Linked DNA regions of Struthio camelus. The protein of the gene in region 3 binds, or shares a complex with, the protein of the main gene of each other region. Links are inferred from orthologs where the notes say so. Each region holds a gene or a part of one and is shown on either strand. Other genes may lie near its edges. The genes, in order: TIMM10B, TIMM29, AGK and TIMM10.

Region 1 (6,765 bases), about 160 Mb from region 3:
CCGCCCCTTGCCCCACCCCGCGGGCTCCGCCCTGCGCCTGGCCCCGCCCCTTCTTCGACACCACGGGCCGAGGCGGGGACAGAGGAGGGGGCCGGGCGCGCAGCCCCCGCCCCGCCCCTGCGGCAGGGACCGTCCCCCCCGCCGGGCGCAGCGCGCCAGCGCTCGAGGTCTGCTCGCCCCGCCGCACGCCCACAGCCCGACATTCGCGATGACTCTTTTATTAGGACCGGGAAACACCTTCCCAGCAGTAGAAAAGCTCCAACTCTGCAGCACCAAAGGAGCTTTGTTGTTAAGACAAAAGAGTTCAGCTAAGAGCCCTCTTGGCCAGAACCGCAGCACTAGTTTTCTCCCTTACTGCCTTCAGTGCCAGCCGTCGGTCTCAGCCCCAGCGCCACCAGACACTGAACGGATGTGGCCGATGTCAGGAGGCTGTTCGTAATGCAGATGCATTAGAGGATGTGGACCTGCAAGGTCTGGTGTTGGTGCAGAGAGGATTCTACCGCTCCAGACTAGCAGTAGCAACAGCGTGTGGAGGCCCAGATCTCACTGCACTGCCCACAAGTTACTTCTCACACTGGTAACACAGGGCCCAGATCCAGCCTGCAACCATCCATCCCACCACTGCTGTGAGAAGGCAGGGCCCAGGAGTTACAGCTGTGCTATGTGCCAGCATCTGAGGCTCCTTCTGTGGCTCCACCAATGCCAGAAGCCACCTGCAAGTCAGGCTGGGCATCAGGGCCCCCAGTACCTGGGAGGGCAGGCGGTGCCACTGATACTTCCTTGGCAGAATTTGCAGACGTCTGGGCTGCACTGGCCTCGTAGTCCGAGGCACGGCGCTGCACAATGGAGGGCATAAGCGCCACATAGGCACTCATGAGGCGGTGGTTGGAGTGGACCAGTTTTCCAGCACAGCTGTCCAGGCACATCTCCTGCAGGATGGCGAGGTGTCAGCACGGCAGGCGGGCTCCTCATCAGGGGCACGCGCTGCCTCTCCCCACAGCCCCTCCAGCCCATCCAGTGCTGTGACGCGAGCAGGAAACCAGCACTGCAAGACCTGCGGTGCTCCAGCCGCCCGAGAAAGGCCCAACGCTGGGCTCACCTCATGCTTGGTGAGCACGCGGTAGTTCAGGTTGGAGACGCAGCGCCGGAAGCAGAGTTCAGTCATCCGGTTGTAGACCAGCAGGAAGTCCCGCAGCTGGAAGAGCAACAGCGCTGGTGCACGCTCACCCTGCTCAGGGTCTGCCAGTGTCCCAGGCCCCCACCAACCCCCTGAGCATCTCGGGGTCCCCGCCCAGCACTCGAGCGCCCCGGGGTCCCCACCAACCCCCTGAGCATCTCGGGGTCCCCACCCAGCCCCCGAGCGCCCCGGGGTCCCCACCAACCCCCTGAGCATCTCGGGGTCCCCACCGAGCCCCCGAGCGCCCCGGGGTCCCCACCAACCCCCTGAGCATCTCGGGGTCCCCGCCCAGCACCCGAGCACCCCGGGGTCCCCACCAACACCCTGAGCATCTCGGGGTCCCCGCCCAGCACTCGAGCGCCCCGGGGTCCCCACCAACCCCCTGAGCATCTCGGGGTCCCCGCCCAGCACTCGAGCGCCCCGGGGTCCCCACCAACCCCCTGAGCATCTCGGGGTCCCCACCCAGCACCCGAGAACCCCGGGGTCCCCACCAACACCCTGAGCATCTCGGGGTCCCCGCCCAGCACTCGAGCGCCCCGGGGTCCCCACCAACCCCCTGAGCATCTCGTGGCCCCACCGAGCCCCCCAGCGCCCTGGGCCTTGCCACTCCCCGGGCCCCCGGCCGAGCTCCTGCAGCCCCGCAGCGCCCCAGGCCCCACCCGGCCCCGGCCCCGGCCCCGGCCCCGGCCCCGGCCCCCCTCACGCTGCGGAGCTGCTGCTGCTCCCCGCTCTGCTCCATGCCCGCACAGGCACTTCCGGCCAGGAGCAATGACACAACTTCCGGTCGCGCCTGTCACCTCCGGTGTTTTCGGAAGCGCCGTTCCTCTTGGGGCCGCCGCTTCCGGGGATCAGGCCATTTCCGGCCCTGTTCCGCCCGGCGCTGTTCCCGGTCGCCCCCTGGTGACGCCACTTCCGCCCTGCCTCCCGGCGTCCCCTGCCCGGGGTGTGACGTCGGTTCCGGTGTGTGCCGGGGCCGAGGCGGATCGGGGCTCCGGCGCCTCCGGGGCGGGGGGACCCGGCAGCGGCCGGGGCGGCGCAGGTGGGCGGCGGGGCCTGGGGCCTGGGCCTGGGGCCTGGGGCCTGGGGCCTGGGGCCTGGGGCCTGGGGCCTGGGGCCTGGGGGAGCCGGGGGCCGGGACCTGGGGGCGGGGGGCGCTGTGTGCTCGTGGACAGGGGGTGCGGGGGGGGGAGTGGGGGGAGCGGGGGGCGCTGTGTGCCCGTGGACAGGGGGTGGGGGAGTGGGGGGAGCGGGGGGCGCTGTGTGCCCGTGGACAGGGGGTGCGGGTGGGGGAGTGGGGGGCGCTGTGTGCCCGTGGACGGGGGGTGCGGGTGGGGGAGTGGGGGGAGCGGGGGGCGCTGTGTGCCCGTGGACAGGGGGTGGGGGAGCGGGGGGCGCTGGGTGCCCGTGGACAGGGGGAGCGGGGGGCGCTGGGTGCCTGTGGACAGGGGGTGCGGGTGGGGGAGCGGGGGGAGCGGGGGGAGCTGTGTGCCCGTGGACAGGGGGAGCGGGTGGGGGAGCGGGGGGAGCGGGGGGCGCTGTGTGCCCGTGGACAGGGGGAGCGGGTGGGGGAGTGGGGGGAGCGGGGGGCGCTGTGTGCCCGTGGACAGGGGCTGCGGGGTGGGGGAGTGGGGGGAGCGGGGGGCGCTGTGTGCCCGTGGACAGGGGCTGCGGGGTGGGGGAGTGGGGGGAGCGGGGGGTGCTGGGTGCCCGTGGACAGGGGCTGCGGGTGGGGGAGTGGGGGGAGCGGGGGGCGCTGTGTGCCCGTGGACAGGGGCTGCGGGGTGGGGGAGTGGGGGGAGCGGGGGGTGCTGGGTGCCCGTGGACAGGGGCTGCGGGGTGGGAGAGTGGGGGGAGCGGGGGGTGCTGTGTGCCCGTGGACAGGGGGTGCGGGTGGGGGAGCGGGGGGTGCTGTATGCCCGTGGACAGGGGCTGCGGGGTGGGGGAGTGGGGGGAGCGGGGGGTGCTGTGTGCCCGTGGACAGGGGCTGCGGGGTGGGAGAGTGGGGGGAGCGGGGGGTGCTGTGTGCCCGTGGACAGGGGGTGCGGGGTGGGAGAGTGGGGGGAGCGGGGGGTGCTGGGTGCCCGTGGACAGGGGCTGCGGGGTGGGGGAGTGGGGGGAGCGGGGGGTGCTGGGTGCCCGTGGACAGGGGCTGCGGGGTGGGAGAGTGGGGGGAGCGGGGGGTGCTGTGTGCCCGTGGACAGGGGGTGCGGGTGGGGGAGCGGGGGGTGCTGTGTGCCCGTGGACAGGGGCTGCGGGGTGGGGGAGTGGGGGGAGCGGGGGGTGCTGTGTGCCCGTGGACAGGGGCTGCGGGGTGGGAGAGTGGGGGGAGCGGGGGGTGCTGTGTGCCCGTGGACAGGAGGTGCGGGTGGGGGAGCGGGGGGTGCTGTGTGCCCGTGGACAGGGGGAGCGGGGGGCGCTGTGTGCCCGTGGACAGGGGGTGGGGGAGCGGGGGGCGCTGGGTGCCCGTGGACAGGGGGAGCGGGGGGTGCTGTGTGCCCGTGGACAGGGGGTGCGGGTGGGGGAGCGGGGGGCGCTGTGTGCCCGTGGACAGGGGCTGCGGGGTGGGGGAGTGGGGGGAGCGGGGGGTGCTGTGTGCCCGTGGACAGGGGCTGCGGGGTGGGAGAGTGGGGGGAGCGGGGGGTGCTGTGTGCCCGTGGACAGGAGGTGCGGGTGGGGGAGCGGGGGGTGCTGTGTGCCCGTGGACAGGGGGAGCGGGGGGCGCTGTGTGCCCGTGGACAGGGGGTGGGGGAGCGGGGGGCGCTGGGTGCCCGTGGACAGGGGGAGCGGGGGGTGCTGTGTGCCCGTGGACAGGGGGTGCGGGTGGGGGAGTGGGGGGAGCGGGGGGTGCTGTGTGCCCGTGGACAGGGGGTGGGGGAGCGGGGGGTGCTGTGTGCCCGTGGACAGGGGGTGGGGGAGCGGGGGGCGCTGTGTGCCCGTGGACAGGGGGTGGGGGAGCGGGGGGAGCGGGGGGCGCTGTGTGCCCGTGGACAGGGGGAGCGGGGGGCGCTGGGTGCCTGTGGACAGGGGGTGCGGGTGGGGGAGCGGGGGGCGCTGGGTGCCTGTGGACAGGGGGTGCGGGTGGGGGAGTGGTGGGGTTGTGTGCACCGCTGGTGCGTGGGGCTCCGTGCTGGGAACTGCAGCGTGAAGGCATGGCAGATGCCTGCCTGAAACAGCAAGTGCCTCCAGGGCAATCAGGGCTGACCTCGGGGGCCGCTGTGCTAGCGGCACGGCTGAGGGCACCACAGCTGGGTGCTGCTGCGCGTTACATCTGTCCCTGCTGCCCACTGGGGCCAGGAGATGGTGCCCCGCTTCAGGAGGGGGCTGGGGATGTGTCTGTGGGGCCACGGCCACCCCATTCACCCAGGGGAGAGCCCAGTGCCAGGTGCTGTTGGGTGGTGTTGTCTTTCCCTGGCGCTGCAGCCCCTCCAGAACAGAGCGACTGCCTGCTCAAGGGAAGCCCACAGGGCTGGGAGTTTCCCAGGGCCCAGGCCATGTTGCAGGTAGAGGTTTGGCTCAGAGAGATCAGGGAGTACTGCTGGAGTTGCGTGTTCTGCCCTTCGTATCCTGCTCCCTGTACTTGCTAAGGCGTGTTCGTGTTGGGTTGCTGCTAGGGTCAGTGGTGACTCCCACTGTTTTTGATATGGGACCAGATCTATAGAGCTCTTGTCAAAGAGCAAGTGCCAGTGCTGGTGGGTCCCTGCGTGACTGGAACCATTGTGCTTACCTGGTGCTGCCTGGCCTCAGGCCCTGGCTGCCGCAGCGAGGGGTGGGTGCCACCCAGGTGGAGCGTCCTGCCTACAGCTGCAGGGCAATCAGGACTGCTGGGTCCGCTCTCTGCCTTTGCCTCTGCCGTTAGTTGACTGTGAGTTGTTTCTCTTCCCAAGCTGTAGTTTCCCTGCTCTGGAGCAGGCTCTGGAGCAGGAGCCATGGTCACTGTTTGAGGGCTGTTCTGAGCTACAACCTGAGGGCAGGTGCAGAGACCACTAGATATGAGCTATACGGTACAGCTTTCGCTGTGTAGCCATTTCACATGACAGCATGGTGGAGGAATGTGGTTGGAGGCTGTGTCCTCTGCATGCACGTTTCATCCATGCTGGAGCCCTTTCCTGTGGTGTCCAGTTCTTCTAGGTGTTGTTTCCCTGTCAGGCAGCAGGGAGCTAACGGAGCGTAAGGGCTCGGAGCGTAAGGGCTCGGCTCGGAGGTGTGCTCAGGTGCCTGGCGCTGCCTGCACTGGAATGTGCTCCGACCGGTCTGTGCACAGCACTCCCGAGAGAGCCCGTTGTTCCAGCAAGGTTTGTTCCTGGCTCGTGGCCCCCTCTGCCTGGGTCCTGCCCCCACCTCGTGGATGGGCTCTTTGCTGCCCAACCACTGCTCACTCCTCTGACGCGCAGCCCTGCCTGACTGTGGACGTGGCTCTTGGCTCTGTTTTCCTAGGCTCTGGGCCAGCAGCTGCTGTGCTGTGAGGTCCTGGTTGCCCTGGGGCAGCCAGACTCTGCCTCCCAAGCCCGGGGACAGGACTGGCTGCAAAAGAGTGGTGAGGGGAAGGGAAAGCACTGTCCTGTTTCTGAAATGTGAGAGTCGTGGACTGATGGAAGGGCAGAGGAAATGCTCCAAAACCCAATACACAATGGGCTGGTGGAATTGAATGCTACTGCTCCCGGATGCTGAGCGGGATCTGGGACTGTCTTCTGCAAGGCACACAGCCTTCTTCGGGAGCTTTTCTAGGAGCAGAGGAACTGCTGGCAGGGCCAGGGTGGCATGTTTGGAGGGGCCGCTGTCTTGGAGGAGCGCCTGCGCTCAGATAGGCACTAGCTGCTGTGGTGGGACCTGGGTGGACCCTGGGGACTGCTCAGTGTGCGCAGTTTCTAGTCCTGCTGTGAGTGTAACAGGGAACTGCTGCCTGGTGTCTGCTAGCTGCTGTTCAGTGCCGTGCAGCTCGGCCTTGTCTTTTGCCCTGCTGGATCCTGGGCTGAGAAGCCCCAGTGTTTTCCTATGTTGAAACCCCAGGACCCCTGTCCACCTGAGGGGTGGTGGCCGTCTCTGCCTGTTCCCGGGGTTCCTCCAGCTGCCAGCAGAGCATCTGTGTCCTTGCAGGCCCTGACGATGTCGGACGGGATCATGAGCAAGGCTGCCACCATGGAGATCCCCATCAGCAGCAACGGGGACACGGGCAGCCTGCCGGAGGATGACGGCTTGGAGCAGGTTTGCGGCTGGGGCCCATCAGCAGGGGTCAGGACAGTGACATGCTAGACAGCCCAGATGTTGCTCTTCTGGCTGCTGTGGGGCAGACAGGGCCTTAGCACTCTCCCAGCTCTGACCCAGTCTTTCCATTGGGTCTGTGTTTCTCTCTGAGGCTAAATGCCCTGTTTCTGTCCCAGCTCTGTGCACTCCTCTGTTCTAGGACTTGCAGCAGGTGATGGTGTCAGGGCCCAACCTCAATGAAACCAGCATTGTGTCTGGCGGCTATGGGGGCACTGCTGAAGGCATCATCCCCACCAGCGCCATCAAAGGTAGGTTGAGCCTCAACGCAGGTCTGCATAGATGGGGCTTGGGGAGCAGGGGAAAGATGAGTGCTGCTCCCCAGTTGG
Region 2 (5,933 bases), on a different chromosome or scaffold from region 3:
TAATCCCACGAGGAGTCAACGCGCGAACGACAGATGCCGCAATAAAGGGTTAATCGATAGTTAGGGGGTCGCTGGGGAGCCCGGGGGGGCGTCGGAGAGACGCCGGGCCGCTAGCGAGGCCCCAAACCCAGCCCGGGGCGAACGCCCGCAGCGCGCGGTCGGTGCGAGCGTCGCCCTGCGTTTCCCTAGGGGGGGGAAGAGGGGTTCGGCCGCGTCCCGCAGGGAGGTTTCCTGCGAGCGCGAGCCGCCCGAGACCCTCGCCGGCGGGACCCCGCGCCCCCCTGCCCGCGGCGGGTGGGGGGCAGGCGGCGACGCGGCCGGCCGGGGCCGGGACGCGGAGGTCTCGCAGCTCGGCAGCACCCTCTGCCGCATCCCGCGGGAGCGGCGCAGGGATGGAGGCGGAGGGCGCGGGGCCGAGACGCTTCCCGCCGCCGGGCGCCGCATTCGCCCCGCCAAGCGCCGTCCCCGCCGAGGCGGCACGAAGGAGGCGGCGGCGCGCGTCGAGACATCCGCCGCCTTTATTGAGCGGCGCCGAACGGCCGCTGCGTCGCTCAGTCACCGGCCCGCGGCGCCCGGCGGCGGCGGCTCCTTCTCCGCTCGCTCGATTTGCTCCTCCGTCAGGACGACGGGCTGGTACCGCTCCTCGAAGAGCTTCTCGTTGGCCTCGGAGTGGAGGTGGTGGAAGGAGACGGCGCGGAGGTGCTCGGGCAGGAACCTGAACTCCTCCTCGTTGATGTCGCAGTCCCTCATCTTGGCGCGCAGAACCCACCAGCGTCCCCAGAAGCCCACGTCGAGGACGCGGGCCGGGAGCTCGCGCCAGCGGGGCTGCAGGTAGCGGCACTGCGCCAGGTAGAGGCCGGCCTGGGCGTCGAAAGGCGCCTCGTAGACCAGGGCGAAGAAGACGAGGTTCCGGTAGCGCAGCTGGCCCCGGTCCCGCAGCCGCAGCAGGCGCTGCACGTGCCCCTCGGCGACGCCGCTGCGGATCCACGGCGAGAGGAGCAGCAGGGAGCCGGCGGCCTCCAGCAGAGCCGCCTCGAAGGAGCCGGCGCCGGGGACGGCGGCGCCGCAGGCGGCCGCCCCGGCCAGCAGGGCCAGGCAGCCCGCAGCCCGGCCGGGCCGGCGCCGAGCCCCCCGCGCCGCCTCCCGCGCCGCCTCCGCGTAGTCCTGCAGCAGCGCCCGCCACCAGCGCCCTGCGCCCAGGCGCCGTCAGCGGGGAGGGGGCTGCCCCCCCTGCCCCAGCCTGGGCCCAGGAGTCCGGGGACCACCATAACCCCCTCTTCAATGGGCCCAGGAGTCCGGGCAGCCCCCCCAACCCCCCCTTTAATGGGCCCAGGAGTCCGGGCAGCCCCCCAGCCCCCTCTTCAATGGGCCCAGGAGTCCGGGCAGCCCCCCCAACCCCCCCTTTAATGGGCCCAGGAGTCCGGGCAGCCCCCCAGCCCCCTCTTCAATGGGCCCAGGAGTCCGGGCAGCCCCCCCCAGCCCCCTCTTTAATGGGCCCAGGAGTCCGGGCAGCCCCCCCCCAGCCCCCTCTTCAATGGGCCCAGGAGTCTGGGCAGCCCCCCCCAGCCCCCTCTTCAATGGGCCCAGGAGTCCGGGGACCCCCCCAACCCCCCCCTTCAATGGGCCCAGGAGTCCGGGCAGCCCCCCCCAGCCCCCTCTTCAATGGGCCCAGGAGTCCGGGGACCCCCCCAACCCCCCCCTTCAATGGGCCCAGGAGTCCGGGCAGACCCCCCCCAACCCCCCCCTTCAATGGGCCCAGGAGTCCGGGCAGCCCCCCCCAGCCCCCTCTTCAATGGGCCCAGGAGTCCGGGGACCCCCCCAACCCCCCCCTTCAATGGGCCCAGGAGTCCGGGCAGACCCCCCCCAACCCCCCCCTTCAATGGGCCCAGGAGTCCGGGGACCCCCCCAATCCCCCCCTCCAAAGGTCCCAGGAGTCCGGGGCCCCCTTGGACCCCCCCAGCCCGGCCCTCACCGGCGCGGCTCCCCGCGATGCGCGCCCAGAGCCCGCCGCTCCCCCGGGCCGGGGCCGGGGCCGGGGCCGGGGCCGGGGCCGCCGCCTCCCCCGCCGCCGCCATGGCCGCGAGCGGCGCCGGAAGTGGCTCCGGCCGGGACGGACACGGGGACGGACCGGGCGGAACCATGACGGCGGGGGGGCGGGGCCGGGGGGGCCGGACACGGGGACGGACCGGGCGGAACCATCGCGGCGGGGGGGCGGGGCCGGGGGGGCCGGACACGGGGACGGACCGGGCGGAACCATCGCGGCGGCGGCGGCGGGGGGGGGGAGCCACGTCCGCGGGGCCGGGCCGGGTACCGGGGGGGGGGGGAACCGGGGTGGGGGGGGACCGGGAGGAGCCGGGGGGTCCCGGTCCAGGCCCAGGAGTCCCCGGGGGGGGTTATGGGGGTCCCGGTGCAGCCCCACGGCGGGGCTGGCGGGTCCTGACCCAGGCGGTGCCGGTCCCGGGGGGTCCTGGGAGTCGCGGGATGCTGGAGGGGGGTCCCGGAGGCCCCAGTGCCGGGGGGATCCTGGGGATACCGGGCCCGGGATGCCGGGGGAGCTCCGGGGGGGGGGTCCCGGGGGTCCTGGTGCCGGGGGGGGCTGCGGGGTCCTGGGGGGGTCCCGGGGGTCCTGGTGCCGGGGGGTGCTGGGGGGTCCCTGGAGATACCAAGCCCGAGATGCCGGGAGGGTACCGGGGGGGGGGTCCTGGGGATACTGGGCCCGGGATGCCGGTGGGGGGGCCGGTCCCGGTGCCAGAGGGGGCCCTGGGGATACTGGGCCTGGGATGCTGGGGGGGGTCCGGGGGGGTCCCGGGGGTCCCGGTGCTGGGGGGGCCTGAGGGGTCCTGGGGATACTGGGCCCGGGATGCTGGGGGGTACTAGGGGGGTCCCTGGGGATACCAGGCCCGAGATGCCGGGAGGGTACCGGGGAGGGTCCCGGGGGTCCTGGTGCTGGGGGGTCCTGGGGATACCGGGCCCGGGATGTTGGGGGGGGGTCTCGGGGGTCCCGGTGCCGGGGGGTCCTGGGGATACCGGGCCCGGGATGCCGGGGGAGCTCCGGGGGGGGGTCCCGGGGGTCCTGGTGCCGGGGGGTGCTGGGGGGTCCTGGGGGGGTCCCGGGGGTCCTGGTGCCGGGGGGGGCTGCGGGGTCCTGGGGGAGTCCCGGGGGTCCGGGTGCTGGGGGGTCCCTGGGGATACCAGGCCCGAGATGCCGGGAGGGTACCGGGGGGGGGTCCCGGGGGTCCTGGTGCTGGGGGGTCCTGGGGATACTGGGCCCGGGATGCCGGTGGGGGGGTCCCAGTGCCAGAGGGGGCCCTGGGGATACTGGGCCTGGGATGCTGGGGGGGGTCCGGGGGGGTCCCGGTGCTGGGGGGGCCTGAGGGGTCCTGGGGATACTGGGCCCGGGATGCTGGGGGGTACTGGGGGGGTCCCTGGGGATACCAGGCCCGAGATGCCGGGAGGGTTCCGGGGGGGGTCCCGGGGGTCCTGGTGCTGGGGGGTCCTGGGGATACTGGGCCCGGGATGCCCGGGGGGGGGTCCCGGTGCCAGAGGGGGCCCTGGGGATACTGGGCCTGGGATGCTGGGGGGGGTCCGGGGGGGGGTCCCGGTGCTGGTGGGGGGGGGGGGGCGCCCCAACCGCCTCACGTCTCGCTCCCGCAGCGAGAGACCCCGCCATGGCGGCGTCCGCCGAGCTGCGGTTTCACGGTGAGTCCCGGCGCGACGTCGGGGCAGAGCCGGGGCCCCCCCGCCGCGGCCCCCCCCGCCGCGGCGCCGGGCCCCTCGCGGCCGCCTGACGCCGACCGTCACCGCGCAGAGCTCGAGGAGGCGGCGGAGCCGCCGGCGGGCGAGCGGCCGAGCCACGCGGCCGTGGAGCTGGGGCCCGGCTGCGAGGAGGGCGAGCCGGGGGCCGACGCCGACAGCGCCGAGGTGACGCAGCCGCCGCCGCCGCCGGCACCACGGGGAGCGGAGGCCCCCGGCCGCGGCCCCGCGCTCACGGCCCTTCCTCCGCCCGCAGCTCCTGGGCGGGCAGCAGCAGCCGCGCAGCTTCTGGACCTTCGAGTATTACCAGGCTTTCTTCGACGTCGACACCCACCAGGTAGCGGCGGTCGCGGCGGCCGGACGGCCCGGCTCCTCGGCGCCCGCCGCCTCTGAGACGCCGTCGCCCGCCGGCAGGTGCTGGACAGGATCAAGGGCTCCGTGACGCCGCTGCCGGGGAAGAACTTTGTGCGCCACCGCTTGCGGAACAACCCCGACCTGTACGGTGAGAGGGCAGAGCTGCCGCTGGCCGGGCGCCTGCCGGCGCCCCGGGGCCGGCCCCTCGCCGACCGCCCACCCGCTTTCCCCTCCCCAGGGCCCTTCTGGATCTGCGCCACCCTCGTGTTCGCCCTGGCCATCAGCGGCAACTTGTCCCACCTGCCGGAGAAGCAGGCGTCCCCCTCCTTCCACTACAGCCCCCAGTTCCACAAAGGTGCGAGGCCCCGGGCTGGCGGGGGGACGCGGGGAAGGGGACGGGGCAGCCCGGGCTTTGCCTTCATTGTCCCCGTCCCGTCCCCTCCGCAGTCACCATCGCCGCCACCGTCGTCTACTGCTACGCCTGGCTGGTGCCGCTGGCGCTCTGGGGCTACCTGCGGTGGCGGCGGGGCCCCGGGGCGCGCGGCAGCTCCTACAGCTTCCTGGAGACGGTCTGCGTCTACGGCTACTCGCTCTTCGTCTACATCCCCACAGCGGTGAGTCCCCGGGGCGGCGGCGGTGGGGCCGCGTCCCCCAGCGGAGCTGACGCCGCCGCCGTCCCCGCAGGTGCTGTGGCTGATCCCGGCCGCCTGGCTGCAGTGGCTGCTGCTGGCCGTGGCCGCGCTGCTCTCGGCCTCGGTGCTGGCGCTCACCTTCTGGCCGCTGGTGCGGGCCGAGGGCCGGGCGGCCGCCCTGGCCCTGCTGGCCGCCGTCGTCGCCCTGCACGCCCTGCTCGCCGTCTGCTGCAAGGTACCGCTCGCCGCGGGCCGGGGGGAGCGCCGCTCTGGGGACGCCGGACCCCCCCACTCATTCCCTCCTTTTATTTTTTCTCCCTCCCAGCTTTATTTTTTCCAGCGGCCGCCGGGCGCCGGCCCGGCCCCCTCGCCGCTCCACGCCACGCTGGGGACCGAGCCCCACCACAGCCGCGCGCCCCACCACTTCGCCAACCTCTCCCAGCCGGCGAGGTAAGAGGGGGACCCCGAGCGGGGCAGGCAGCCCCCGGCTCGATGCGGACGGCCCCGGTGGGGGGCCAAACCCTCGCCTGGCCCTCGGCTCTTCCCGCAGCTCGAGGCAGTGACGCGGCTCCAGCCCCCGCGCGAGGACGCGGCCGTTTTCCTGCCTGGCGCGGCCGGCTCTGCCCTGCCGGCGGCTCTCGGCACAGCCCGGTTCCCGGCGGGACTCCTCCGGACGGGGTGCCGGGCCGGGCCAGCACCGTCCCCAACTCTTCTCTATGCAAACAGCGACCGAAATAAACCCCGGGGCTGTCCCCGCCTGGCGACCCGCGTTGTCTCCGGCTGGGAGCCGAGGGCCTGGGGAAGGGCCGCGCCGGGGCTGGGGACACGGGGTCCGGCCGGGAGCGGACGCGGTATCAAAGGCAGCAGGGCGCGAACCTTCGAAACCCTCCCGTTTATTCAGTACTACAGCCGAAAAACAGCAGATCCGCTACTCCTAAGGCGCAGCCCCAGCGAGGGGTTGGGGGCCGCCCGCGGCAAAGGGAACGGCCCCGGGGAGACGGTCGCTCTCCGCAGCGGGGTCCCTGCGCGCCCCTGCCAAAAACCGCCGCTCGCGGCCTTCGAAAGGAAAACAAAAGAGAAAGGAAAGTTCACGCTATGAGTGCTGGACGCTAACAGACACCAAATACACTTCCTAGTGCAGCCACGCAAGGGAGCCTTCCATAACAGATGCCCCCGCGACGCCCGCCGGGCCCC
Region 3 (7,354 bases):
ATCTCCACTAGGGCAGGAGATGCAGATTACAGCCTTGCTATCTGATACTCTCAGCCCATCCTTAGCTAAGTCATGAATGCAAGAACATCCAGCAGACTGGCTGTCTGACATAGGCATCTCAATTCTCTGTTGCTGTAAGGATGATAGAACAGCTACATGGAACTGAGGAAGCCCTTTTCTCTTATGTACAAACACGCACATTCCTTTCATGCTACTATCATGCAAAGACACTCCCCTTTGTCCTTGTATAGTGCTGGCATATAATCTATCGGTGATGCAGGATGGTTTAATCTAGTCAACTGTATGAGGATTACCTACAGACCAGCTGGCTGAAATTACTTTTCAGACCCTGAATTTGAATAAAGCCCCAGCTGGTATGAAGTGGTGTGAATGGGATTTCTGCTCCTGATTCTCTTGGAAGTTTTGGAAGGTCCGGCTCAAAATTCCACACCAAGGGATGCAACTGGTGACTTCAGTAAAATGATTACATAAATTCAGTCCCATTCCCAGAGGACTGGCTATGACAGAAGGTTGCCAACCCAGATGAGTTAGCGGATTTGGAGATTTTAGGACAGACCGTGCTGGACAGAAAAAGAAACTATATAATTCTCTGTCCTTGCCAATATTTATGCATGCATAATTATAGGGCATTGCCATGTCGTAGAGAAATAAACTTTCTATCATTTCTCCTATATTTTCTGGCTAAGAAGAGAACTCAGTAAATAGGCAGCTGGTAAAGCAAGTGACTTCACTTAAGTTATAAACAAATAAGTCCCTGAGGCATGGTCATGTATCTGAGGCTTCTTCTGCTAACAGACTTGGCATTGGTGGTGCAGACAGAATGACAGAAAATTGTCCTTCAAAAATGGGTCAGATATGAGTAACTGGGATGAGGCACTGACCTGTATTCACAGACAACTTGTGTGATAATTTCAGGTGACATATCCCAACTCAAGTATTAGATTTCTGGGCCAGCTTGCTAAATGCTGGCTTCTTTTGCACAAACAATCTAGTAAGCATAAGAAAACAAAACACATATCAGTCTCCTCTGAACAGTTTTCTGAAAAAGGTAATAATTGTTTTGCCTAGCCTAAAAAAAAGACTACAGTATATAATCCAGAGGTTGTACAAAATCAGCTGTTTACCCTCTCATTTTCCATTGTGCCTACTCTAACATCCATTTCTATTGACGTCACCTGCAAAGAACCGGGAGAGCTAAAAAGGAAGTACCTGGTACATGAACAGCGGGTGTGATCTACCTTGAGGGTGATCAGATGGCCACAGCCAAAAACTAGGACATACATGTTTGCCAGGAGGGATTTTAGAATGGACACTGCATCGTAAGTAAAGCCAGATAATGAGACAAGTGCACAATCTGTTGTTGTTGTCTACAGTGTTTCTTTTAAGGGTAGTTCACTTCAGAAAGTGCCATCTCAAAATTCCCAGGCCAAATCCTCAGATAAAGTCACCGAATCAGGGTCTATGAAGTCAGAAAGCTCCTTTGGAGATCTTCTAGTGCAACCTTGCTGCTCAGAGCAGGGTCAACCAGAGCAGGCTACTCCAGGCTGTGTCCAATTGGGTCTTGAATATCTCCAGGCACGGAGACTCCACAGCCTCTCTGGACAACCTGTTGCAGTGTTTGACCACCCTCCCAGCAAAAAAGTTTTTTCTTATGCTTGCATGGAATTTTGTGTCTGTCAATTTGTGCCCGTTGCCTCTCTTCCTGTCACTGGATACCACTGTGAAGAGTCTGGCTCTATCTTCCTTACTCCCCCCAGATCAGCTGTTTATACACATTGGTAAGATCCCCCCGAGCCTTATCTTCTCCACACTAAACAATCCCAGCTCTCCTCTCATATGTCAGATGCTTCAAAACCATAATCAGCTTAATGGCTCTTTGCTGGACTCACCCCAGTGCATCCATGTCTGTCTTGTACTGGGGAGCGTCACTCAGCATCGCTGAGGTAAACTGATTTATACTACCTTAGACCTAGCCTTCCATGTGCAGTCACTCTAGAGAGAGAGATCTCTAATTGAAGGATTACCTCGAGTATACATACAAAATATTATGATATGATTCCAAACTCTGCTAGGAATGGTGAAAGACAACGAATATTTGGGCTAAAATTTCTCATTCATACTAACTCAAATGTATTTTCATGCACATGAATTCAAGTAAATTTCCATTCAGCTGTCTCAGAGATATTCAGGCCCTTCATACTTTTAAGCATTTTTTTGACTACTTTGAACATGTATTGACATACTAAAAAGACTTTATTTTAAAAATTCAAGCTTGCTTTGGAAGGAGTCTTAATAAACATAAGTATAAACACAACTATACTCTGTAGACTTGATTGTGAAGGAGGAAGTTACAGATGTTTGTAAATTATTTGTGTCACCTCATAAGAATTACTGAATTTGAAAAGCATATATCAGCACGCAATCTTTTCATAAGCTAAGGAAAGTAGGATGAGAGTCCTAATATTTGTTGCTGTTGTTGTTAGCAGTTGGCCACACCACCTGAATTCTCACAAAAAGTAGGCCAATACAAAAGAAAAAGTAGGACATTTAATCATTCTACACCACCTGGAACATTCAGCAGCACATCAAGTGTATGTACTTAGCACACTGAGATGAACTGTGCAGATGAACCCAAATATTTAACTGGATAAGGGTACCACTGCTGAAATATTCATCAGCAGCTGATCTTTTAACGTTTTGCCTTCGGAAAACAAGCCCCAAATCTTTTACTTAAAAAAAAAAAAAGTAGGGAAACCAATCCCTACCCAATCCATGGGTTTCAATCTGTTTTCCTTATCACCAATAACAGAATATCTTCCGGACTGTCTTCTGCATTAACTTGATTTCTTGCAGAACAGACTTTTGCATACCCAGACTCCAACGTTTGGCCTCACTCATCCCCCTTATGTTACTACTCGCATCCAATTCTGACAACGTTAAGCATAAGGATTTGGGGAAGTTTTTACGTTAAATTCATTTTATTGATCTTGACATTGTTATAAATGTTCAGAATTTGATGAAAATGGCATTTTACAAGAGGGAAAAAACATTATCAGAAAAAAATTCTGTCTGGCCTTAAGTTTATTACACTGACCAGTTGGTCTCTTCCAGACTGCTTCCTTGTCATCCCAAGTGTGTAAACCTTTGTCCCCGCCAAAAGTGGGCCAATGTTCTACAGAAACAGAATGCTTCCTTACACCATTATTTAGCCAATGGCTCATTTCGAACGATCTACCATCTGTCTGGCTTTCTCGTGAAGACAGGAAGGATCTCTGTGAGTATTAATCACACATGCCTCCCATTCAGCACTTTTCTGAAATCTCTGAGGCTGTTTGTAACCTGTGAGACGTTATATGAAGCCATGGCATTAATGCTAGTATGGACTGTTGCCACCGGATTGCCCACAAGCTTATCCCATCATGAAGTCAGGTCTTGTCACTTTGTCATTGCCACGCCTTTCCCTTGCAGGACATTCATTCTGCTTTTCACTGTATGGATTCCTTGCAGGGATGGTCAGTTTTCCATGGACGGTTGGAGACTTTTATCCTGGTGCATGTGGTCACGTAGTTGGTGGGGCTCAAACCCCAAGTCCTTCTTATACAACTTTCCATTCTATTCAGTTAGCTGAATCTTCAGAAATATTTTCAGTAATTTTCTTGTACCTTGGGTATTTGTATTGGTGTGAAAAACCTCCTGTTCACTTTTGCCCTCTACTATGCAGCAGGTCACCTGCTCCTTTTGTTTCTGGTGGCTGTGTTCGTCCAAGTTTCTGCTTCTTAGTGTTTTTGGTGAGCAGCTCTGTACTAGTAATATTTTTTTCTTGACGGACCGGTAATACTTCTCGGCTTGTACTGCCCAAGCACCCAGAAATTTCTGTTTTGTCCTCATTGTTACCGCTTGTTCTTCTGCACCTGCGGCACAGCGTGGCCCAGGCTTCGGCGGGGTGGTTTGCTGAGGAACGCCGTCAGTGCTGAGGGCTTCGGGTCATGTTGGGGGTTGGAGGATAAGTGAAGAGCAAAGACTGCGAGGACACAAACACGGGTATGAAAATACTTTTCCTTGGGGATACATACACACACACACACACACACACACACATATATATATATATATATATTTAAGGTAGGGCGCTTAGCAAACGTGTGGGGCCGTGCAAGGACACAGCACGCGGCCCAGGCCCTGGCTGGCAAAACACGCCGCTGCTGCTGCCACCGCCAGGGTCGCCCCGACCCCCCTCCCAAGCGGCCTGGCCTAACGCCTCGGGGTGCGGGTGGGGGACGCGTTTTAACTGCGGCGGGCGGCGTTGGGGTAGCGTTTGCGGTGGTGGGGGGCGGGGGAAGGGGGGACCGTTGCTGCGCGGAACGCGAGCGCCGGGGGAGCCGTTTCCAGCCGGGGCGGGCGGCGCGCGCGGGCCGGGCCGAGCCGAGCCGGGTCCCTGTGGCCGTTGCCGCCGCCAAACGGTTCGTCGCCGCGAGCGGCCGAGGCGGGGCGCCATGGCCGGGGTGGTCAGCGCGCTCAAGGCCCTGAGGAACCACTGGAAGAAAACGACGGTTGGGGCCTGCCTGCTCTCCTGGGGCGGCAGCTGGCTCTATGGCAAGCACCGGTAACTACCGCCGGGGGAGGCCGGGCGGGTAGAGCGACCCCCCCCCCCCCCCGCCCCCCGGGGTCGCCCAAGGCCGGGGGCTGCTGCCCCCGCCAGCGAGAGCCTGGGGAAGGTGCAGGGGGAACTGCAGCCCTTCTGGCACTGAGGCTGTGTGTGTGTGCGTGTGTGCGTGTGTGGTTTTTTTTAAATATATATTCCTTAAAAAGCCACTGGCCCCTCAAGAGGAAGGGATTTGCCGCAGCCTTCTCAGCTTTCCAGAGAGCAGGGGCCGTCTTCCCTTCCCTTCCTTCCCTACGACCGTTAAAGTGGGGCTTTCCTGGTGGAGAAATGCTCATCTGTCTTTTTAAATGCATTCCAAAGTGTAGGAGCCTCCTCGGGGTGATTGCTGTGGCCATTCCATCAAGTTGTGGTCCTAAAAAGGCTTAAATTCTTCCTGTGACTGTTAGTGTTGGCTTATTGTGAGTTTGGGTCCAGTCCAGGCGGTAGCTTTGAAGAGACCTTGTGTCAGAGTTGCTTTAAACAAACTTCGTGTCAGAGCAGCTTGAGTCATTTTTCGATCAACTGGAGAGTAGACAGATTTTTCTCTTTTAACTTAGAAATGCAGTCAACCACATGTATGTCATTGGGTTACTTGCTTTTAAGCAAGATTGTAATGATAAATGAAAATATAGGCCCTATACCTGCAAATGATTCCACTGATACAAATCATTAGGGACTGAATGGAAATTGGCTTCATAAACAGAAGGAGGTTGTGATGGGATTGTGGTCATGTGCCTAGGGGCTTTTCCATCTCTATTTTTCTAATAGTGTCATATTTCACGAAGATGGCCAGATCTTTGCTCCATGAGAACTTGTGTCTTCTGAGACACGCAGCGTTGGCAGCAGCTGTGCAGACTTTTATTGTGTGTATGCTCTGCTGCGGTCACCAGTGGAACTGGAAGAAAGTCATCAATTACTGCAGTAACTATATTGTGACATAAATCATACATAGTCAGCTATGATTTCTACATTTGTTATCCATGGACGAAATGCTCCTTATAGTAGTCAAAATCTTAGTTTACAGTTTTTAAATAGCTAGGCCTATATATTAATCTCTGTTCTTTTAACTCCCTTAGAGTTAATATACTTGACCAAAATGCAAGTATAGTCAAATTATTTTTTAAAATTATTCTTTCTGTTGCTACTGTATCTTCTGTCACCACCTTGTATCTTTTTAACTGTTAAGCCAGGATTTTTTAACAGTGTTCTTTTCTACTTGCATTAAAATGCTGTCAAGCCTCAGCAGAAAACTTAAGAAAATAAAACTGCTTATGGGGTGTGTTATACTTTCCTTCTTTGTTTATCTCCTTCTGCCTGGAGACTTTAGCATTAAATCAGAGTCTTTGTTTTGAAGGATACATCTGTTTATTTCCTACCTGAAGCATTAAGACTCAGTTGACTGTGGGCAAACAGCAAAAACTCTCTATCCACCCTTTTTTTTTTTTTTTTTGGTAATTGCTGATTGTAGAGTAGGTTAAGATAGGATGGAGAATTACTTCAGGCGAGCAAAAATGGTAGTAATGAGGTCATGATTTCACATATATGCCTACATAGACCAACATAGAAAAGAATTGTACTGCTGTGTTGTAAGCAGAAATATCTGTACTAAACAGGTTGTTTGGTTTTTTTTTCTGTGCCTTCCTGTAGTCTCAGTCAAGCTCTGAGCTTACAGTCCACTAAAGACTTCTAAAGACTTGAACTTTAAATTCAGATAAAGTAGCAAAATGTATCCAAGTGATTACTTGGAACTCTATCATTCTAGATACCTCTTAGCCGAAATAAACTTAACAGCCATAAATATATGTACAAAACAAGGAGGAAGCAATTGTTCAAGAGCACTCATAGGAGAAGCTGGCTGGCAGGTCAGAGCATCCTGTGATCTTCCCATGTACCCTGCTTATGTAAGTTGCCTCCTTATTGGTCTTCTGTTGCCACAGATACTAATGACAGTGAACAAAGTGCATTTCAGACCTGGGTACTGTGGAGAGCTACTGAAATAAAGCTTTAACGAAAGACTAAATCTGGTCCTTGTGCGTATGTAGAATGGTCACTTAAGGAGACACAGGAGCATCAGACATAACCAGTTTCCTCCCTTTTTTTTTATTCTTTCTGTAAGTTTATGTGCCTATATGCTGTGCCTAATACTGGTTTCAGCTGTATTCATGTGCTACGTAGTTCCCATTGTGCAGGACCTGTGACAACAAGTCTCTGATCAAGGAGAAAGTGGAGCTTACCGTAGGTGATATGCTGTCAAACCAAAAATGAATAAAGAGGAAAATATAAAAGCCAAACAAACAAACAAAAATGGAACTTTTGATATCTAAATTTAAGTGCTCAGAGGTTGTTTGTGTCAAATGTAGGCACAGTGCTTTAACCCAGAAGATGAAGTAAAAAAATAACATGTTTATACATCCCATTAAGTTTCGCCTTTTATCCAGACAGCATTTCCTTACCATGCCAAGAGGATGCAAGGTAAGAAGTCCTGTGGCAACATACTGCTCTGTGTAATTTGATGTTGCCTGAAGCACAGCTGTAAAGTACTGCTTTCAGAGGTTTAAATACTGTTTGTATAAAATGACAACTGTTTAGCCATTTCTTGATCTCTGCAGAGGATTGTTTCTGCCAAGGCATAGAAAAATGAGAGGTAACAGAAGAGTCTGATGGTAAGAGTGCAAAAATACAAAGGTTGTC
Region 4 (6,360 bases), on a different chromosome or scaffold from region 3:
GTGCACACACGCACCTCTGGGCTGCTTCTGTGCAGGTGTCCCTGGGTGGTGTCTCTTTCCGGGTGTCCCCAGGGGGTGTCTCTCTCCGGCTGTCCCTGCGCCTGTCCCCGCAGGTGTCCCCAGGGGGTGTCTCTCTCCGGCTGTCCCTGCAGGCCAGCGGGGCCGGCTCAGACAGCGCCCTGCGCCCACCCTACGGGGGATTATGGGGCTCAGGCCAGCTCTGCCTAATCCCGGGGATTATAAGGGCTGGGCCCGGGGCGGGGCGGGGGCACCCAGGGGTGCACCCTGCAAGGACACAGCAGGGGACAGCAGGGGACAGCCAGGGCAGCACCACCGCTCATCCCGATTCAGGGGGTCGAGGAAAAGACCTCTTCCCCTGCCACCCCCCCGGCTGGGGTGCGCACGACCCCCTGCGAGCCACAAGCGAATCCCCCCGCCGCCGCCCCGGCTCCGAGCCTCGCTGCCCTGCAGTGGTACCCGCGTCCCGGAGTGACGCCGCGGCGAGCCGAGGGTGCTCCGAAACACCTGGGTTTATTGGGGTGGCGGGGAGAGGGTGTCCCGGGCGGGTGTCCCACCGGCGGCTCAGGCGGTGCCGGAGCCCTGCTGCATGCGCTTGAGGAGCTCCTCGTCCTGCAGCGACAGCTCCGTCAGCTTCTTGCCCATCCTCTCGTGGACGTCGAGGTACTTGGCCACGCAGCGGTCCAGGCACACGCTCTCGCCCTTGGACAGCTCGGCGTCCTTGTAGTGGGGGGGCACGCACTTCCGGTGGCACGCGTGGGTCATCCTGCGCCGGCACCCGTCACCCGGGCGTCCCCCGAGCCCCCAGCGCCTCCCGGCACCCCCTAAAGTACCTCCCAATGTCCCACAGCCCTCAGCACCTCCCGTGCCCCCCAGTACCCTCCAATGCCCCCCAGTGTCCCCCATGCCCCCCAGCACCCCTCAATGTTCCACGGCACCCCCAATGCCCCCCAGCACCCCCCGTGCCCCCTAGCACCCCAATGCCCCCCATACCCCCCCCAATGTCCCACAGCACCCCAACACCCCCCAGTGTCCCACAGCCCTCGGCACCCCCCATGCCCCCCAGCACCCCCCAACGTCCCACAGCACCCAGCACCCCCCAGCCCCCCCATGCCCCCCAGCACCCCCAATGTCCCACAGCACCCAGCACCCCCCAGCCCCCCAATGCCCCCCAGCACCCCCAATGTTCCCCAACACCCCCCATGCCCCCCAGCACCCCCAATGTCCCACAGCACCCAGCACCCCCCAGCCCAATGCCCCCCGTGCCCCCTAGCGCCCCCCATTCCCCCAGCCACCCCCAGCCCCCCAATACCCCCCGTGCCCCCCAGCACCCCCCAACGCCCCCCCAGCCCCGGGCTCCTCCCCCTGTCCCCCAGCGCCGCCCAGTGCCCCGCTGGTCCCCACCGGTTGTACATGTCGGCCATCATGTCCACCTCCAGCTCGGCCGCCAGCTGCTGGGCCCGCATCGGGTCCATGGCGCCGGGCACGGGCACGGGCACGACCACCCCGCGGCGGCGGCGGCTGCCGGCCGGAACCACGTGGGGGCGCGCGCGCGCGCTTCCGCCCCGGCACGGGACCGCCCCGCCTCGCGGCGGAGCCAATAGGAGCCAGGCGCGGAGAGGGCAGGGGCTCAGCCCCCAACGCGGATAGGGCGGGCCGGGAGGAGGGGGCGGGACGGCGCGGGGCAGCCATAGAGAGGGAGCGGGGTTGCGGGGCGGGGGGGGGGGGACGGTGAGGGCGGCGGATAGAGAGGACGCTCGCGCTGCCCGCCGAAGGGGGCGGAGCCAGAGCAGCAGCGGGCGGGATTGGCGAAGGCGCGCCCCGCCCCCTCGCGGCTGGGCCCCGCCCCCTCCGCGGAGTCCTCCCGGCCCCGTGGGCCTGTCCGGGGAGCCCCGGCCCCCCCCGGCCCCGTGGGGGGGGGTCTCAGTCCCCCCCCGTCCCCTCTGTGTCCCCACGGTCCTGTGGGGGGTCTCAGTCCCCCCCCGTCCCCTTGCGTCCCCACGGCCCCATGGGGGGTCCCCTCATGTCCCCCCTTCTGCATGGCTCTATGGGGGTGTCCCTGTCCCTCCCATGTCCCCCATGTCCCTATGACCCTGTGGGGGGGTTCCCTGTCCTCCCCTGTCCCCCCGAGTCCCCATGGCCTTGCAGGGGGGGGGTTCCTGTACCCCCCATCCCCGTGTGTCCCCATGGCCCTGGGGGGAGGTCCCTGTCCCCCCATGTCCGCCATGTCCCCATGGCCCTGGGGGGGTCCCTGTTCCCCCTTGTCCCCATGGCCCTGTGGGGAGTTCCCTGTCCCCCCATGTCCGCCATGTCCCCATGGCCCTGGGGGGAGTTCCCTGTCCCCCCTTGTCCCCATGGCCCTGGGGGGGGGGTCCCTGTCCCCCCATGTCCCCATGGCCCTGTGGGGAGTTCCCTGTCCCCCCATGTCCGCCATGTCCCCATGGCCCTGGGGGGGGTCCCTGTCCCCCCTTGTCCCCATGGCCCTGGGGGGGGTCCCTGTCCCCCCATGTCCCCCATGTCCCCATGGCCCTGGGGGGAGTTCCCTGTCCCCCCTTGTCCCCATGGCCCTGTGGGGAGTTCCCTGTCCCCCCTTGTCCCCATGGCCCTGGGGGGGGTCCCTGTCCCCCCATGTCCGCCATGTCCCCATGGCCCTGGGGGGGGGTCCCTGTCCCCCCTTGTCCCCATGGCCCTGGGGGGAGTTCCCTGTCCCCCCTTGTCCCCATGGCCCTGGGGGGGGGTCCCTGTCCCCCCATGTCCGCCATGTCCCCATGGCCCTGGGGGGGGGTCCCTGTCCCCCCATGTCCCCACGGCCCTGTGGGAGGGTTCCTGTCCCCCCCCCCATTCCCCCATGACCCCCTATGTCCCCATGGCTCTGTATGGGGGGTGGTCCCTGTCCCCCTCATCCCCCCTTGTCCCCCCTGTCCCCCGTACGCGCCTGCCCCCCCCACCTCGTCCCTTCGTCCCTGTGTCCCCGCAGCCGGGCGCCCCCGCCACGTCCCTGTCCCGGGCCCGCGTGGGCGACCCCGGGCCCGGCCAGCTCCCCGCACGCCTGTCCCCCCGCGTGCCCCATGTCCCTGCCTGTCCCCGCGGGCCCCAGCCCGGCCCCCCCCCGGCCTGCATGAAAGGGGCACCTGTTCCGCCGGGTAAAAATAGGCAGCGAGTGGGGCCGGCCGCGGCGCCAGCACCGGTGAGTGGGGCCGGCAGTGGGGGGCACTGAGGGCAGCGGCCGGGGGGCACCGCTGGGGGCTGGGGGCCGTGGGGTGGGGGCTGCCATGGGGCACTGCTTGGGGCTGTGGGGTGGGGGCTGCCGTGGGGCACCGCTTGGGGCTGTGGGGTGGGGGCTGCCATGGGGCACCGCTTGGGGCCGGGGGGTGGGGGCTGCCGTGGGGCACCGCTTGGGGCCGGGGGGTGGGGGCTGCTGGGGGGCACCGCTTGGGGCCGGGGGGCAGGGGCTGCCATGGGGTGCCGCTTGGGGCTGTAGGGCAGGGGCTGCTGTGGGGCACTGCTTGGGGCTGGGAGCTATGGAGCAGGGGCTGCCATGGGGCACTGCTTGGGGCCATGGGGCAGGGGCTGCTGTGGGGCATCGCTTGGGGCCGTGGGGCAGGGGCTACCGGGGGGGCGCCGCTTGGGGCTGTGGGGCAGGGGCTGCCTTTGGGCACCACTTGGGGCCGTGGGGTGGGGGCTGCTGTGGGGCACCACTTGGGGCCGTGAGGCAGGGGCTGCTGTGGGGCACTGCTTGGGGCTGGGGGTCTGGGGCCACTGTGGGGCACTGCATGGGGCTGGGGGTTGTGGCATGGGGGCTGCTGTGGGGCACCGCTTGGGGCTGGGGGCCGTGGGGCGGGGCCCGCCGTGGGGTGCCACGGGGGAAGGCACCTGGCCGGGGCTTTTCGCCCCGCTCAGCCCCCTGGCACGGCCCCCCCGGTGCTGCCGTCGCAGACATGGAGCCCGAGGGAGCTGCCCGGCCGCCCGCTGCCCCCGAGCCCCCCGCCTGCCCCACGGCGCTGCCGCCTGCTGCGGGGGGGGGGCCTGAGGGGCAGGAGGGGGGCACTGCTGCGGGGGGGCCCACGGCGGGGGCGGATGGGGTGGCGGGGGGCAAGGCCGAGGCAGCAAAGGATCCTGGGAGCGAGGCCGAGGCAGCAGAGGCTGCTGGGAGTGAGGTGAAGGCAGCAGAGGCTGCTGGGAGGGAGGCCGGGGCAGCAGAGGCTGCTGGGAGGGAGGCGAAGGGAGCAGAGGCTGCTGGGAGTGAGGCTGAGGCAGCAAAGGATCCTGGGAGGGAGGCTAAAGGAGCAGAGGCTGCTGGGAGCGAGGCGAAGGGAGCAGAGGCTGCTGGGAGGGAGGCCGAGGCAGCAGAGGCTGCTGGGAGCAAGGCGAATGGAGCAGAGGCTGCTGGGAGGGAGGCTAAAGGAGCAGAGGCTGCTGGGAGCGAGGCTAAAGGAGCAGAGGCTGCTGGGAGCGAGGCCGAGGCAGCAGAGGCTGCTGGGAGGGAGGCTAAAGGAGCAGAGGCTGCTGGGAGCGAGGCGAAGGGAGCAGAGGCTGCTGGGAGGGAGGCCGAGGCAGCAGAGGCTGCTGGGAGGGAGGCTAAAGGAGCAGAGGCTGCTGGGAGCGAGGCCGGGACAGCAGAGGCTGCTGGGAGGGAGGCTAAAGGAGCAGAGGCTGCTGGGAGCGAGGCGAAGGGAGCAGAGGCTGCTGGGAGGGAGGCCGAGGCAGCAGAGGCTGCTGGGAGGGAGGCTAAAGGAGCAGAGGCTGCTGGGAGCGAGGCCGGGACAGCAGAGGCTGCTGGGAGGGAGGCTAAAGGAGCAGAGGCTGCTGGGAGCGAGGCCAGGACAGCAGAGGCTGCTGGGAGCGAGGCCGGGACAGCAGAGGCTGCTGGGAGGGAGGCCGGGACAGCAGAGGCTGCGGGGAGGGAGGCCGGGGCTGGGATGGAGGCCGGGGCAGCGCAGCGGGGGGCCGGGGCGGCGGCCGAGCCCCCCCCGGGCCAGCAGGGCCCCACGTGGCAGCAGGACGAGGACGACGAGCTGTGGCCCGAGTTCGGGCCCGCCAGCCCCACGTCCCCCCCGGCGTCCCCCGTGTCGCCCACCTCTCCTGCGGCCCCCACCGCCCCCACCGGTGAGTGCCGGGCTGCCAGGGAGGGCACCGCACCTCCGGGGGCCCCGTACGATCCCCCCCAGGGGTCCCCTATAGCTCCACCACCCCCCTGGGATCCCCTATAGCTGCCCCACGCCCCCAGGGGTCCCCTATAGCTCTACCATCCCCCTATAGGATCCCCTATAGCTGCCCCATGCCCCTGGGATCCCCTATAGCTCCGCTATCCCCCTGGGATCCCCTATAGTTCCCCTGTCCCCCTGGGATGCCCTATAGCTGCCCCATGCCCCCGGGGTCCCCTATAGCTCTGCCATCCCCCTGGGATCCCCTATAGCTGCCCCAACCCACCTGCCCACCCAGGACCCCCGTTCCCCCAGGATCTCCTATAGCTGCCCCGTTCCACCCCCCCGGGACCCCCATCTCCCCCGGGATGCCCTATAGCTCCCACATCCCCCCGGGATGCCCTAGAGCTGCCCCGTTCCCCCCCCCGGGCGCCCCCGACCCCTCTGCTCTCCCCACAGCTGGCGCCGTCGCGGGCTCGGGGGGCCGGCAGAGGTGAGCGTGGGCCGGGCCCCCCGGCTGCCCCCCACCCCCCCAACCGCGGCACCCATGCCCAGCACCTGCACCCCGCGACCTGGCTGCCCCACGCCTGGCACCCCATGGCCTGCGCCCCGTGACCCCAAGCCACACGGCCACCATCCCACGGCCTGTGCCCCATGGCTGGCACCCCATGGCCCCATGCCCGACGGCTGCCACCCCACGGCTGCCACCCCATGACCTGTGCCCCACAGCTGCCACCCCACAGCCTGCGCCCCATGGCCCCATGCCTGACAGCTGCCACCCCACGGCTGCTACCCCATGGCCTGTGTCCCATGGCCCCATGCCCGACAGCTGCCACCCCACAGCTGCCACCCCATGGCCTGCGCCCCATGGCCCCATGCCCAACGGCTGCCACCCCACGGCTGCCACCCCATGACCTGCACCCCATGGCCCCATGCCCCATGGCTGGCATCCCCCTGCCATACCCCCTGGCTATCACCCCTGGTCCCCCCGCCCCATGCCCCCCACCCCACGCTGGCTCTGTGCCCACAGGGGGGCAGCCGGGGGGGCGCCGGGGCACCGGGTCGGGGGGCGGGTGCCGGTGGGCACCCGGGCGCAGGGGCGCAGCGCCATCCTGGAGAAGTTCGGAGGGTGAGTGGGGCTGGGGTGCGGGGGGCCCACGGGGCACCAATGGGGAGCCGCCGGGGGGGCTGCCGGCCA

Evidence for each region.
Region 1: AGK (region 3) and TIMM10B share a complex: the UniProt entries of both Homo sapiens proteins name them as parts of the TIM22 complex. The link is inferred for Struthio camelus from reciprocal best matches to the Homo sapiens genes AGK and TIMM10B.
Region 2: the proteins of AGK (region 3) and TIMM29 are in contact, whole or in part, in a cryo-EM structure (PDB 7CGP), measured with the Homo sapiens proteins. The link is inferred for Struthio camelus from reciprocal best matches to the Homo sapiens genes AGK and TIMM29. Residues at the interface, in NP_060708.1 of Homo sapiens: His33, Asn36, Arg39, Arg40, Cys43, Gln44, Gln47, Asn51, Lys82, Pro86, His89, Leu90; in NP_612367.1 of Homo sapiens: Tyr145, Gln146, Cys149, Arg150, Tyr151, Leu152, Gln153, Arg155.
Region 4: the proteins of AGK (region 3) and TIMM10 are in contact, whole or in part, in a cryo-EM structure (PDB 7CGP), measured with the Homo sapiens proteins. The link is inferred for Struthio camelus from reciprocal best matches to the Homo sapiens genes AGK and TIMM10. Residues at the interface, in NP_060708.1 of Homo sapiens: Phe49, Gly50, Asn51, Gln52, Leu53, Ile54, Pro55, Pro56, Val60, Ser91, Gly92, Met93, Asp94, Val95; in NP_036588.1 of Homo sapiens: Glu40, Glu42, Leu43, Ser44, Lys45, Gly46, Ser48, Arg53.

Annotation. Positions count from the first base shown.
Region 1 is NC_090942.1:225,139,810-225,146,574, reverse strand, and holds TIMM10B (mitochondrial import inner membrane translocase subunit Tim10 B), read right to left. Parts: upstream 2,008-6,765; 5' UTR 1,917-2,007; coding exon 1,881-1,916; intron 1,196-1,880; coding exon 1,100-1,195; intron 930-1,099; coding exon 660-929; 3' UTR 512-659; downstream 1-511. Other genes in the region: ARFIP2 (arfaptin-2), read left to right, coding at 6,281-6,379, 6,579-6,687. UniProt on the Homo sapiens protein: Component of the TIM22 complex, a complex that mediates the import and insertion of multi-pass transmembrane proteins into the mitochondrial inner membrane.
Region 2 is NC_090972.1:4,660,851-4,666,783, forward strand, and holds TIMM29 (mitochondrial import inner membrane translocase subunit Tim29), read right to left. Parts: upstream 2,076-5,933; coding exon 1,973-2,075; intron 1,191-1,972; coding exon 556-1,190; 3' UTR 501-555; downstream 1-500. Other genes in the region: protein YIPF2, read left to right, coding at 3,669-3,699, 3,809-3,921, 4,010-4,090, 4,168-4,255, 4,346-4,462, 4,555-4,721, 4,792-4,974, 5,065-5,189 and 1 more. UniProt on the Homo sapiens protein: Component of the TIM22 complex, a complex that mediates the import and insertion of multi-pass transmembrane proteins into the mitochondrial inner membrane.
Region 3 is NC_090942.1:65,589,040-65,596,393, forward strand, and holds the start of AGK (acylglycerol kinase, mitochondrial), read left to right. Parts: upstream 1-4,344; 5' UTR 4,345-4,514; coding exon 4,515-4,624; intron 4,625-7,354. UniProt on the Homo sapiens protein: Lipid kinase that can phosphorylate both monoacylglycerol and diacylglycerol to form lysophosphatidic acid (LPA) and phosphatidic acid (PA), respectively. Does not phosphorylate sphingosine. Phosphorylates ceramide.
Region 4 is NC_090946.1:7,516,370-7,522,729, reverse strand, and holds TIMM10 (mitochondrial import inner membrane translocase subunit Tim10), read right to left. Parts: upstream 1,601-6,360; 5' UTR 1,494-1,600; coding exon 1,423-1,493; intron 785-1,422; coding exon 583-784; 3' UTR 513-582; downstream 1-512. Other genes in the region: SMTNL1 (smoothelin-like protein 1), read left to right, coding at 3,957-5,124, 5,622-5,655, 6,193-6,291.